Arabidopsis thaliana: one gene and its partners. The protein of the gene in region 3 interacts with the protein of the main gene of each other region in a pairwise test. Each region holds a gene or a part of one and is shown on either strand. Other genes may lie near its edges. The genes, in order: HEC1, BNQ2, AT4G30180 and BNQ3.

What was found.
Region 1: the proteins of AT4G30180 (region 3) and HEC1 interact in a two-hybrid assay, tested with the Arabidopsis thaliana proteins (one large-scale study listed by BioGRID).
Region 2: the proteins of AT4G30180 (region 3) and BNQ2 interact in a two-hybrid assay, tested with the Arabidopsis thaliana proteins (one large-scale study listed by BioGRID).
Region 4: the proteins of AT4G30180 (region 3) and BNQ3 interact in a two-hybrid assay, tested with the Arabidopsis thaliana proteins (one large-scale study listed by BioGRID).

The regions. Positions count from the first base shown.
Region 1 is NC_003076.8:26,764,365-26,767,794, forward strand, and holds HEC1 (basic helix-loop-helix (bHLH) DNA-binding superfamily protein), read left to right. Parts: upstream 1-1,717; 5' UTR 1,718-1,911; coding exon 1,912-2,637; 3' UTR 2,638-2,893; downstream 2,894-3,430. UniProt on the Arabidopsis thaliana protein: Required for the female reproductive tract development and fertility.
Region 2 is NC_003076.8:4,920,739-4,924,777, reverse strand, and holds BNQ2 (BANQUO 2), read left to right. Parts: upstream 1-1,965; 5' UTR 1,966-2,224; coding exon 2,225-2,353; intron 2,354-3,135; coding exon 3,136-3,291; 3' UTR 3,292-3,535; downstream 3,536-4,039.
Region 3 is NC_003075.7:14,767,083-14,770,271, forward strand, and holds AT4G30180 (uncharacterized protein), read left to right. Parts: upstream 1-1,701; 5' UTR 1,702-1,945; coding exon 1,946-2,422; 3' UTR 2,423-2,689; downstream 2,690-3,189.
Region 4 is NC_003074.8:17,588,642-17,592,226, forward strand, and holds BNQ3 (BANQUO 3), read left to right. Parts: upstream 1-1,902; 5' UTR 1,903-2,087; coding exon 2,088-2,216; intron 2,217-2,664; coding exon 2,665-2,814; 3' UTR 2,815-3,029; downstream 3,030-3,585. UniProt on the Arabidopsis thaliana protein: Atypical and probable non DNA-binding bHLH transcription factor that integrates multiple signaling pathways to regulate cell elongation and plant development.

The DNA of each region.
Region 1 (3,430 bases), on a different chromosome or scaffold from region 3:
ATTTTTAAGGTAAGAATCATTTATTGTCATTTGTTTTCAATTAATTAGGATGCTGCTTCTTGTTTACGGTACATTTTTAGGTTATGTTCCATCATTATATTTAAATATTCAAACGATTATCTGATCACGAATCAGATCCATCTTAAATGATACTATATCATTTATTATTATTTTTTTACACGATACTAATGCATACTATTTTTGTATAGCAATTTGTAAATCAGTTATAAGAATGAAAAAATCTCCACTTTGTTGGGAATGATATCGGGTTGTCAGATGCAGCAGATGATGATTCTTCAGTTTTCGATTTCAACATAAAATTCTTTGGTTAAAAAAGCAATTTACAAGAGAGAAAAAAAGGTTGAGAATTTTCATAAAAACTGAAAGCACCTTCGCCAGAAGGAAAGTCAGTGGGGGTAAGCAACAAAAGTGTTTAATAAAATCTACTATATAGAATAATACATAAAAACTTCCAAAAATGAATAATTCGAAATTTAAGATAGTGAGTAACAAAAAAACAGTAAAATAAAATAAAAAAGGAATGAAGTCGTTCTCAGATCGGCTTTGAGAAGCGTGCCATACGCTAAGGCTTGATGTCAACTGAGATCCAATTAATCATCCTGACTTATTTCTTATCTATCTATATACGTTTGTTCCTCCACCATTTGTTATATATACACACACACACGCATGTATTAATGTATTAACCGTTCTCGTTATGAGTCTGTGTTAATTTAAATCTGACCAGAAAATTTTACAGAATAAAATACTGCTCCCTGGATTCTGACATATCTCATGTGGATGTGGGGTAATCTTATAAATCATAGTCCTCTCTCTCTCTTATTATAATATTTTGGTTAAGTAACCGTTTTTCTTGGATTGAAGAAAACACTTTCGTTAATTAGTGCAACAAAACCAGTTGATAATCTTTTACTCCAGCTATTATATGAAACCTAATTGACCTTTTTCACATACAAAAGTGTTGATTATGAAATGAATACAATAATAATGGTGGAAAAAATGGAATACTCGTTGTTGTGCTTGTGAGACGACCGGTTCATGAACCTTGCTTTGTCGCGTAACGCGTTATGCCTTCTTTGCCTTTAGTGGATCTGAACACCAATAGATGTAAGCCACGTGTTTACAACAAACATGATCTGGACGGTCGATAAATGCGATAAAATAAACCATTGGTCAATTATCGACGGTCATCATCGATACTCATTAATGGAACCATTTTTCTTACTTCTTTTAGTCTTTTTTTACTTGTTTTTCTTTTTGGATCCAAGTTATGTTACGCAATAATTCTACTTATAGTAACTCCTACGTGTACACACTTTTTCATAGCTTCTATTCGCAACCGAACGAAAATATTATGGCTTTATAAAAATGATTTTTCCTAACATTAATGTTTGGGAATTTTATCATCATACAAGTTCAAATATGAGGAATAAAATCCACCTCAATATTTTACTTGCCTTGGTATATAATAACCTATAATAGTTGATATATGATATTACATTGGTAAGTTAGTCCGAATGACCGAATGCATGTGGAATTTGCACTTAGACAAGAAGACAAATTTTGAAATTGAATATATACATATATGCCCATAAATGTGAGAGTTGAAAATGGGAAGAAATTCCTTTTTATTATATATGTGTAGCATAAGTTAAAGAAGATGGATGGGCCACAAGTTGCTATATAAATCCTTCCACTTCTTGTTGTATACTATTGCTTGAGTTCTGATTGGGCACAGTAGTACCATTGCCATTTCTCTCACACATACCGTCTCTTTCTCTCATCATCAATCATCAATCATCCAAAAGAAAAAACCCTAAAATTTCACTTGTAAGCTTTTCACCAGTTTCTCTCCATACCCATTTTATCAGCTTCTCCATATCTTTCTCTATGGATTCTGACATAATGAACATGATGATGCATCAGATGGAGAAGCTTCCTGAGTTTTGTAACCCTAATTCCTCTTTCTTCTCTCCCGACCACAACAACACTTACCCTTTTCTCTTTAACTCCACTCATTACCAGTCCGATCACTCAATGACCAACGAACCAGGTTTCCGCTACGGTTCCGGTTTACTCACTAACCCTTCTTCTATCTCTCCCAACACAGCTTACTCTTCCGTTTTTCTTGACAAAAGAAACAACAGTAACAACAACAATAATGGCACGAACATGGCAGCTATGCGAGAGATGATCTTCCGTATCGCCGTGATGCAACCGATCCATATCGATCCCGAGGCGGTTAAGCCACCGAAGAGGAGGAACGTCAGGATCTCTAAAGATCCTCAAAGCGTGGCGGCTAGGCATAGAAGGGAGAGAATAAGCGAGAGGATTCGGATTTTGCAACGGCTTGTTCCTGGTGGGACGAAGATGGATACAGCTTCGATGCTCGATGAAGCAATTCATTATGTGAAGTTTTTAAAGAAACAGGTGCAGTCTCTGGAGGAGCAGGCGGTGGTTACTGGCGGAGGGGGAGGAGGAGGAGGAAGGGTTTTGATCGGTGGAGGTGGAATGACGGCGGCGAGTGGTGGTGGTGGCGGCGGGGGAGTGGTTATGAAAGGGTGTGGAACAGTGGGGACTCATCAGATGGTGGGCAATGCACAGATTCTTAGATGATGATGATTTTTAATTTTATTATTATTATATTAATGTTGGAGAAAAAGAGAAAAATGATTCTGGAGAGGGAAGCCAAGTAATTTATGTGAGAGTCTTTAATTTAACTTTATTTTCTTGTTTAGATAATGTGTAATGATGGTTTTTAAAGCCAAAGACTCTCCATGGTTGTTGGAGCGAGTTTGTAAATTAGGAACTATTATCATTGTATCCTTGTTAATCAAATAATTAAAGCAGTATTATGCTTTCAGCTATCAGGCTTGTGTTCATTTTTTATTTGTCTAAAAACTAAATGCTGTTTTCAACATGCAAATATCTATACTTTTTTCTTAAATTAAAAATTAAAATTTCAAAATTTGAGTTTATACTCTTATACTTGTATACAGATTTGAGAATATGACTAACCAAAAAGTCCACGATTATTTATTTTCAATTGTTAATGTCTAATCTGATGGATTTGAGGAAGAAATTAACATCTTCATTAAATGATCAGTAATTTCAAAGCATTAAACAATAAAAATTATTTTTCACTTAAAACAAAATCTTACAAGAAATTTGGTCTATAGAATAATTTCATTAAGATGCTATTAAATATTCAACTGGGCCTTTGCTTTTGTGTAACAGTCTCAGGATTGGTCTTTTTCTCATTGTTTACACAATTAGTAGTCTTTTATGTTATCAGCTATATTATTCAGGACCCAAAAACAACTGGACCCATCCGAATCTTTTTAAAAACACAACCTAGCTATCACAAAGGCTGTTTTGATGAAGCCCAAAAAGACCTACTCGTATACCA
Region 2 (4,039 bases), on a different chromosome or scaffold from region 3:
TTGTCTGCAGAGTTGTGGATTATGGGTAATTAGTTCCACATATTTCACCTATTGAAAGATGCATTCTAATGTATCAATTTTGAACGGTGGTACTGGTACATCGACGACACTAGTATGAACAATTATGATATAAATTAAACTCACTGGTTTTTGCAAATGTTCTAACTATAAAAACATTTTTCTTTGAAAATTGTTATCTCACTACCGTAGTAAAACGATGGAGATAAGAAAAGCGAGAGGTCATGTGGGAGAGGGCGTGAAGGATGGGGATGCTCCCTGATTAGAGGGGGGAAAGAGTGTCCTATCATCACATGGGAGGTTAAACTGGTTCTTATTTATAACTTCAAAATATTAAAACATAAATAGTCCCACCTTTGTGTGCTCATCAGCAAACATTTTTCTTTAATGTCCAATTTATCACACCATCTCCTTGTTTTCTAATACATATCATACATCTACTAATCATCATTCATTCATATCTTTTGCATATATCATCATCTTCATCATCATCATCACGTGTTTAGATCTAGCAAATGGTTTGTTGTTATTTATGACCAAAACAACATTACCATGTAGTATTTATATAAATCCTAAATAAAAATTGAAACTCACTGATACAATTAAAATTAAAGTATTTGTACAAAATTACATATTGACGAATGTTAGTTGGAAATCACCTGTCTAAGTTTTTTAGAACAAGTGCTCAAAGATATTGGGTTCGACAATTGATGAAATTCCACTTAGGCATTACATATAAATAAATATCGTAAGCATATACACTATCAATTGAGGTACACGTGATCGAGCTTGGACTAAAAGTGTAAGACTAGCCCCTCCCTATTGGCTAGGATAGATACCGTACGTTCCCTCAAATTGACCTAAGTCCATTGTTTTTGTTTACCCGTATCTATATAACTGAACCACAAAATCTTCTTGGTTTTACGCATCACAACGATCATAAAATAATGATATACTCATATAGGTATATCTTGAGTATATAGACAAGCTTTACACTAGCTTGTATAATAAGATAAATAGAGTGGTGATATTTTAATGTTGCATTGTTTCAGTACTTGAAATCAGAATCGTTTCCCACTTGAAAAATTAGTTTCTCTTTGATCATAGCATATCTAACAAGACATATTAGTCGAGCTTTTGGATAGTTGTCGTTTGGTCTTAAAAAATAATGATACATTCTCACAAACTCTCACCGTACCTCAAGGCTCAAGCAAAGCTAGGACATGCTATTAAGGAACTGTAACTACTATAGCTGATTATCACAAAGTCTCACCTCAATATATATAAAGATTTTAATGACTAGAATAATTATAAGTTTTGAGATAAATTATCAATGTATCCAAGTGAAAGTATTGTTTGGTATTTTCTGTCAATCTAGATATTCATTTGCGAATTCCTAATTGACGAAAAATAACAGATATTATAATGTTACTAATTAACAAAAAATAAATCTTTGAAAAGATTTACATCATTGAAATACTACAATATTAAAAATATAATAGCATTATAATATCGACAATACTTATAATACTCATATAATAATATAATAAGAAGATTTTAAATGTACATAATACAAATTATTGCAAAAAGATTTCCAGTAATAGATACTAAGTTCTACTAAAGTTTTTGAAACTTTTTAGGAAAAGCAAGATTTTGTTGGAGACTTTGGATTAATGTAATTTTCAAAAGAGAAGAAGATGGTTTTTTTTTTTCTGAATATAAGAAAATAGAAGATATATATCTATCTTCGGTGTATTTATTGTTGATAAATATGCTGTCTTTTTTTAAAGTAAATAGATAAAAGTTAGACAGACTTTTTTTTTGTCTTATGTATCTTTTTCTCTAGTTTTTTATAAATCAACTTTAAATTAATCATCAAATAATAGTAATATTAGACACATATATACATCACGATCTGATAAATTTGTAAATTCACGTGTCATGTATCCAAGACTCCAATTCTAAACCACTGTTCTCTCTTGTGCACTTGTCATCGGCATATCCAACACCCCTATTTAAGATTATTTGTATTACTCTCGCTCTCTCTCTCTCTCTCTATCTAGAAGTGGTCCTAGCTCTCTATATAACACCATTTCTTCTCCTTCTTTCTTCTCCCTTTCTTTCGACAAGCACAAACAAAGCCATCAAGAGAAGAAAGCCTTTTCTTGGATTCACATATATATAAGAATATTTTTTCAAATCAAACATGTCTTCTAGCAGAAGGTCGAGACAAGCAAGCTCATCATCAAGAATTAGCGATGACCAGATCACTGATCTCATCTCAAAGCTCCGACAGTCCATTCCGGAGATTCGCCAGAACCGTCGTTCCAACACGGTAAATCTTTTCAAAAGTTACTGTGTTTCTTCTATGTACCAAGGTTTTGGCATAGTCACATAAGTTTTACTTTGATGATATTTATTTAGGGTTAGCTATTATGTTTAATAGAGAATCACGCATATACAAGTATACAACATGTTAGAATAGTGCATTATAGTCATAGAAGTACGTGTGGGAGACTGCATTTTGAAGTTTCTAAAATTACTTTTGACCATTAACCGGACTTTGAGGAGAGGGGAACATATTTTCCCTAACTTCAGCATTAAGCTTCTAGTTAATTTTACTTTTATTATTGATTAACTACATTGAATGTGAGACGACTATATTGCTTCACGGACCATCAATTCAATACATTTATGTACAGCACCGACTAATTTTTATATTTGGTTTTCTTAGTTTCTATATAACAAGAAAAGTACGAACTCTAGAAAAATAAGAAAAAGCTGGTTTCTATAAATGGAAGCATCGTTTTCTTATAGTACACACAACCAATCAGATTTGTTCTCAATTTCAAAACAATGTGTTGGTTAAGTTATGAGCATTTTTATTTTTTTGATAAAGTATGGGCATTTTATCTTAAGCTTTAGGTTTAACTTTTAACCTATGCATAGTGTAGTATGTCAAGCAACTAGCGTCAATATATTTTCTTACATTATTAACACGCATCATAACTTCAAGCTAAGACTTGTTTCTGTTGTTGTTAAAGCAAGCTAAGACTTGTTTGAATATTTATATTGAATCCTTACTATAAAATGTACAATTGTGAAAATTGTTTGTAGGTATCAGCGTCGAAAGTGTTACAAGAGACTTGCAACTACATAAGAAACTTGAACAAGGAAGCCGATGACCTCAGTGATCGATTGACTCAGCTTCTGGAATCCATTGATCCTAATAGCCCACAAGCCGCAGTTATTAGGAGCTTGATTAATGGATAATTAAGATATAAATTGATTAGTTGTGCTTTATATATATAAGCTTAAAATCTCGTTGGGAGGTTGATCCATCAGGGTGTTGCATAATTATATATCTATTTTATGTTTCTTATATATTATTTACAATCCTATCTAGTTAGGGTTCATATTTTGACCCTTTTTTGGTTTAACGTCATGCATGCAATTCCATTAAGCTTAAAAATTATAATAAATAAGATTTCGAGTAATTATTTAATTTAAATCCTTTTATATTATATTGTAAGTGTGTCCATTTGTATGTGTGTTAATGCGTTATACAAATGGATATACTATATAAGTATATATGGCACCCAAGAGGTTAATTAATTTCAAAGTTAATTTAGACTTATCTTCGAAATAGATAGAAAAGTTGATTAATACTATCATTTAAAGCGTACATGATTATCAATTTTGCATGAAAACGTAATAGGATGACTCAAACCTACCAGACTCACATAAAAAATAATATCTCAACCATTATACCACTATACATTGTTACAAATTACAAACTACAGAATGAAACAAAATCTATATTTATTAGCTTCTCACATATTAAAAAAAATAAAAAATCCAACAAATGTTTTTGAAAACAGACCCATCGTGCATTATATTTGATAATAAAGATAACATTTACACTAGTTTGCTATAAAATTTAGTATTTAATTACCTACAATAATTTTACATATATATATATATATATATCTGTATAAAATTCCCTAAAATATTTGAAGGT
Region 3 (3,189 bases):
AAACTTTTATGATTATATGCATTATTGTTCAATGTCTACTATAGGTGTGAATGTCTAGTATCTATTTTGGTATCCACATCTATTAGTTTGCATCTCAATTTCTTTCTCCTCTTAGATTATATATATATATATATATATATCCAATATATATATATATATTATTTCGTTTGTTTTTAACTAGAAAATTCCTCTACCTTTATGTACTTTTATCTACTTGTATTTAGTAAAGTTTATAGATTAATTAATTTCATCTAGATGGGTTACCATTAACACATGTTTTCCACATTCAATCAAAGGTTATGGGATTGCATTAAAATATAATACGAGAAAACATCACATTCTAACAAAAAAAAAGATTATTTACAAAAGAGAAATAAAATTTCCTTGCTGCATTGATTGATAATCTACTAACCCTTGACTTTTTTTGTGTGGTAGGATAAAGAACACAACAAAACCAATAAGAGATCATTCAGTTTTGGCTATTAACAACAAAAGCTAGTAACGTGTATATTGCATGTATCAAACACTATAAGATTAAGAGACAACTTGTAATGTCTCAACCGCCCATGTTTAGTAGTTATAGATATTGTTTGGACATTTTATTGTTATTATTATTATTATTATTATTATATATATATATATATATATATATCTAAATGATTCGGTATATATTTTAAAAAATAAAAATAAAATAACAAATGAGTAACACCCAGACTTTCATATCATATCAAAGGTGACCTTTTGTGTCAACATAAACTATATTTATCTATTTACAAATCCTATAGGAAAAATTAAAGTCATCTTTAAACCTGGAATGCAATGATGCTTAGAATCAAAAAATCACGACTAAAAGTCCTTGACAAATAAAACGTATTAATAACCCAATTACTGACCACATGCATCTTAACTTTATGTTAATATGCGTAGTAAAGAAACTTGTATCTACGTCATATTAGTTACAGTGGCAGTAAAATTCAGTTTCAAAGATGTTTGTCTTGATATGTTGTACAGATCACCAATTGAACTACCACTAATAATAACTAAATTTCTGTTTAGCAAGTTACCATCTGTATCCAAATATCGCAAAAGTAGTGGGTAGTGAAACCCAAATTCATCACACATGCAGCATAAAAAAAAAGAAGGTCAAATGGTATATATAATATGAGGGAGATCTATATTAAGATAATATGGGTAGAAATGACATAGATTGATCAAACTAATTAGGAGATTGGTCCAAGGACACATACACATGCATACATGTATTATGTATATACAAAGTGTGTGAGTGAGTGAGTGAGAGAGAGAGAGGTTAAGAGGAAGGAACATGTGAAAGCATTAAGAGAAGGTGGGGTTTTGTATTGATGTCTTGTTCTTGGAATGGAGCCACATGGTAAAAGGGTCTCTCAAAGCACCTCTTTAGGGGTAGTTGTGATGCAGCCAAATTAGAGCTCTTGCATGTGACTCCATGTGTTTTTTCTTCCCTCACCCATTATTATTCCCAAATTCTTCTTTTCTTATTTTTCTCTCTTTATTTATGTATATATATATATATATATATATATATACACACTCTCTTTTTGTTTTCGTGTATTTTCTAAAAATAAATGTATTATACAAAAAAACATATATTAGTTGATGATATTCAAATTCCGTTGTTTTTAAAATATTTGTCTAAAAAAGAAAACTACTAACTACGACTTTCAAATAGTCTTGTGTTTTGTACGTGAACGAAAAATAATAACACTCCCAAACATATTACCTCATATATGTATACAAAGAAAATTAAGTTCTACAACTTTACTTTATACATCATCAACGCTTGTTATATACAAACAAACGTAGGACACCGCTCTTCTCTTTCTTTGTCTCTCTCATATTCTAAGTTTGCTATATATGTAACTTTCTCCCTTGTAGACTTTCATTTGCAGCAAAAATAGTTTCTCATATGGAGAGGCAAATCATAAACAGGAAGAAACGAGTGTTTTCTCTTGAACCAAACAAGAACCCTAGTGCAGTTTTCACGAGAAAATACACAAGCCACTTGGTTCCTGCACTCAAGAAGCTCAACATGAACAAGAACTCTTCAAAACAAACCGTGAAGCATGAAGTAGATATGGCTTTGGCTTTGTCTGCTCAAGAATTTGCATGGAGCCGTTTCTTGCTGCAGAAGCTATCGTCCTCATCGAATCCAACCACTACCACTAGTTCTTCTTCCGATGGAATTCGGATTCTTGAAAGACCCGATAAAGAAGGCGGAAACGAAGAAGGAGGGATAGAGGAGAGACTGAGGGAATTGAAGAAGCTTTTGCCAGGTGGGGAAGAGATGAATGTGGAAGAAATGTTGAGTGAGATTGGTAACTACATTAAATGTCTTGAGTTGCAGACGATTGCTCTCAAGTCCATTGTTCAAGATAGTACTTGACTTTTAGTTTAAGTGTATAATTTATAGTTTGTTTCATGTTTTTTTTGTTGTCTTTAAACGAAAATCATCTGTGTTTTTTTTTTTCTCTTGATTTCTTTAAGAACAAGAGCATGTATTATAGTGTTTTTCTTTTTTCCTTTTCTTAATTAATCATGGTTACCGAAATACCTAAAGTACCACACATGGCCGTTTATACGTACATCTTATAAAATTCGATCAAAATCTGATTGAAATTTAAATTATTGGTTGTAATGCCAAATAGACGATGTGCTGCCTAAAATAAAACTCTTATGTTGTCTTTTTTTCCTGAATTTATTATTTTAATGTTATGAGCAAATCTCCAAACTTTAATATTCTAATCATTTTAACCTGACAAACTTTGTGTTTGTGTATATATTTATATTCCTGCAAGTTTTTTTTCTCCTTTAGCGAAAACATATGAACTTTCGACTACAAAAAATCAGATGTAACAAATCTTCAATTAAATAAAAGCTACACATTAGTAGAGATCACCAATATGTTCCAGCTGCAGTAACTACAGGTGCACCATTAAAATGTAAACAAAAATTAGGACTACTGGACTAGAATTACTTTCCAAAAAATTCGATGAATATGAAAAACAAAACGCCGAAATTGTAAATATCTAAAAAGGAGGAAAGTTGGATGACATATGTGTAAACTATGAAAGTCATAACATTGATTTGAAGTCATCATCCATATCTTTGCACGTGTCTCACAGTCACTCGCACGCATCCAAATCTCTCTAT
Region 4 (3,585 bases), on a different chromosome or scaffold from region 3:
TGCAAGATGTGCTTGTTTTGATCTGTCAAAAGAGGAATTGTCTCTAATTTATTTCCAAAATTATGAACACTCATATACGGATGTAATGTACATGTATAACTTTTATTTATTGTTTCACCTTATCAAAAAAAAAAAAAAACAATTTTAATAATTGTTACACAAATGATTAAACATATTTTATCGGGTAATGATATACTAATGAGTCATGAGTCCATGTGATTTTTTATTTTGTTTTTTGATCTAAAGATTCATAACTTAAGTATTCTGGTGTAAACATAAAAAGAAAGCAATTTTTTTGAATAATACAAAAAAGAAATCGTTTATTTTCTTAAAACTGTAAATAAAATCAAATGAAAATGTAAAATAAAATAATAAAAAAATGTAAAACAATCCACATATGAAAAAAAAATCTATTACTAGATTAAATCTAATAACGATTTAAAAATAGACAATACGTGTTCGGAATTTGGAATCAAAGTCCAATTTTCTCTTCTAACTTCTTAATTAAAAAACAAACTTTTAGTTTACAATTTATTTAATGAATTAAATTAAAAATATATTTTTTCTCAATTGTTGGTGTAACCATAATTAACTAATGGAATTTTTTGGAGAAAATATTAATTACTTCAATAAAACGAATGTTATTTATTATCTAAATATAAAGATATTACATGATGGGAAGAGAGACGGGTTACCATATAGTTTGATACCTAGACAAATTTCTGTCTGTAGACTATAAAATTATTTATAGGAATCATTTCCATTGATTAGAAATTCTTGAGATATAGTGATAAAATTGTCAGATCTAAATGGATAAATAATCGAGCGCTTGATTGATTATTCCAAATTTGCAATATATTAATCAACTGATTGATGCCCATGGTATACAAATAAAAATGGAAGAAAGACCAAACTAAGGTACACTCAAAATGGAAAAGACTGATATTAGAATTGTTTAATTTCATCTCTAATAAAACTAAATCAACTTAATTATTTATGTTTGTCTGTACATGCTCAAATTAGTATATGTACTAGATCAAGTATGTAACTATATAAATAAATTAATCTTGCAATATAACTATAGAAGTTGATTAACATTTCCAGGAGTTAATCCTAATTTTACAGTTCTTGGATTAATTAAGATATCATACAAACTAATCATAATTTGTAGTCTAGTACCAAAGTTTGTATTATCACCAATTCCAGAATTTATGCAAGTTTGCCGATAAGTATGACAAACATGCATACATATTCTCTTTGTCTTATAAACCCAAAATGTTTTAGTATACTCTATTCGTGCCAAAAAAAAATATGAAAGAAGGTATCCTCCAACTATAATCAAACATCACCTTTTAAATGATTTACTAAAATGGCACAAGATCACTCTTGTTCTGAAGTTGGTTACTAGTGAAACATATATAGAAAAATGAAAACTGGATTAGCAAAAAAAATAATGTGGAATTAAAATGAATTTTAATCTTCTATTTTATAATGAATTGTAATTGGATAAATGGAAATGTTTTTCCTATATAAGTTTAAAAACATAACGAGACGAAAATTTTCTACCGTTAACAACAAAGATGTTCTTGCAAATAAGATAAGCGTTTTTTTATTGCACAAATATATCTATAAATTTTAGATAAAATATAAATTCTTACCCATTGAGATTTGCATAATACTATTCAGAGTGTTTTTTTTCCCTTTCGTTAAAGACTACTAGTCAGAGTGTTAATCTAGTAATTCACCAATTAATTTAACTATACTTAAAAATATTACAGTTTTTAGGAAACATGCTAGAAAAAACATATATAATTTTGCAATTATATTATTCCATGCATACACATGTAGAGCCAAAAACGGAGAAAAATCTTCTATATAAACACAAGTTGAAACCATTCATGTTTATTTTAAGCAGTTGCAGTAGACTCTTCCACTTCTGTATTCAATTCTTCCTTCTTTTTTCTCTTATAATATAAATAACATACAAAGAAAATACTTGCACTCACAAATATTGATTAAAGTTAATTAGTGAACCCTAAGATTTATAAATCTCTAGCTATACTCTACCATATCATATATATTACATAATGTCTAGCAGAAAATCACGTTCAAGACAAACTGGAGCTTCCATGATCACGGATGAACAAATCAACGATCTTGTCCTCCAGCTTCATCGGCTTCTCCCCGAACTTGCTAACAACAGACGCTCTGGAAAGGTACAACGTTCTAATCAATTTTTCATTATGATTCCTTTTAAAAAATTTAATTTCCTCTTTCAAACCTTAAATCTTTTCTAAACCTTTTTAAATCTTCCTTGGATTAGTAGTGGGTACTTAAAAGAACAAACCTCCGGTTTAAAAAAAATAAAAATAATAACTAATATATATCCTCCATCAAAGTTTAACAGTAATTCTTTCATCTTTCTGTTGTTGCAAACAAACGAGAGTCTTTAGTTAGAATTATAAATAAATATTAAACTAATATTCCATATATTCCAATATTGCATGTATGTATTGATTCATTTGATTGTGATGCATTTTGTGACGAGTGCTAAATTTTAATTTCCAAACTAATCGACAATAAATAGCATGCTGCATGCATGATAATTAAATTGTTAATTATATATAAGATCCTTCTTCTTATCAATATATTGGTTACTTTCAGGTTTCAGCATCAAGGGTATTACAAGAGACATGCAGTTACATAAGGAACTTGAGCAAAGAAGTGGATGATCTTAGTGAAAGATTGTCTCAACTTTTGGAATCAACTGATTCAGCTCAAGCTGCACTAATCCGAAGTTTGCTTATGCAGTAGAATTAGTGCAATAAACGAAGGATATTTTTTTCTTTTCTTTTTTTTGAAAAAATGTCTTCTCAGTTTTAATTCCCCTTCTTATTGTATTTATAATGTCTGGCAGCTTGTGTCCCCTGTTAATTATGCAATGTTTTATTTTTAATATATGTAGGGTTTTGTTTTTGTCAGTTGTTGAACGAAGCAAATGGTTTGGGTTTACGTTCACATTATTTAAGGCAACACACTCAATATATGGGCTTAGGTATTTCTTAGATTCTAGGCATTCCAACCAAATCCATCACATTTTAGTAGCAAAAACATTGATTAAATTTTGAATTTACGAGAAGAACAATGTTTTCTAGTGTCATGCATATACGATTATAACGGTGTTTTTGTAGTTAATATCGATAGGAACTAAACTAACGCAAGTCAAATTTTCTGATCAAAATTAGTCGTTAATTTCGCTTAATGGTATAAAGTATATTTTAAGAAGGAATAAAATATGCTAATAAGCCCCCACGGTTTCCATTTCTGGTAACAAGAATACCATTCAACGTCTCGATCAGCAGCAACGTTGAATCGTTGATATCTATATATAGAAGTATAGAACCAAGGGGTAATTTGGTCATTCCAGTTCTAACCCACTTCTATTACAAGAGCAGTTTACTACGTAAAAACGACCGGCCTTCCACTTTCCCGAAAACAGCCAGCGCCCGCACGTAGAGATTTACTGCATATTCAGTTTTCAGTAAATAAATAGTCCACAAAATTAGTGGCCTTGCGTGTAAAAAA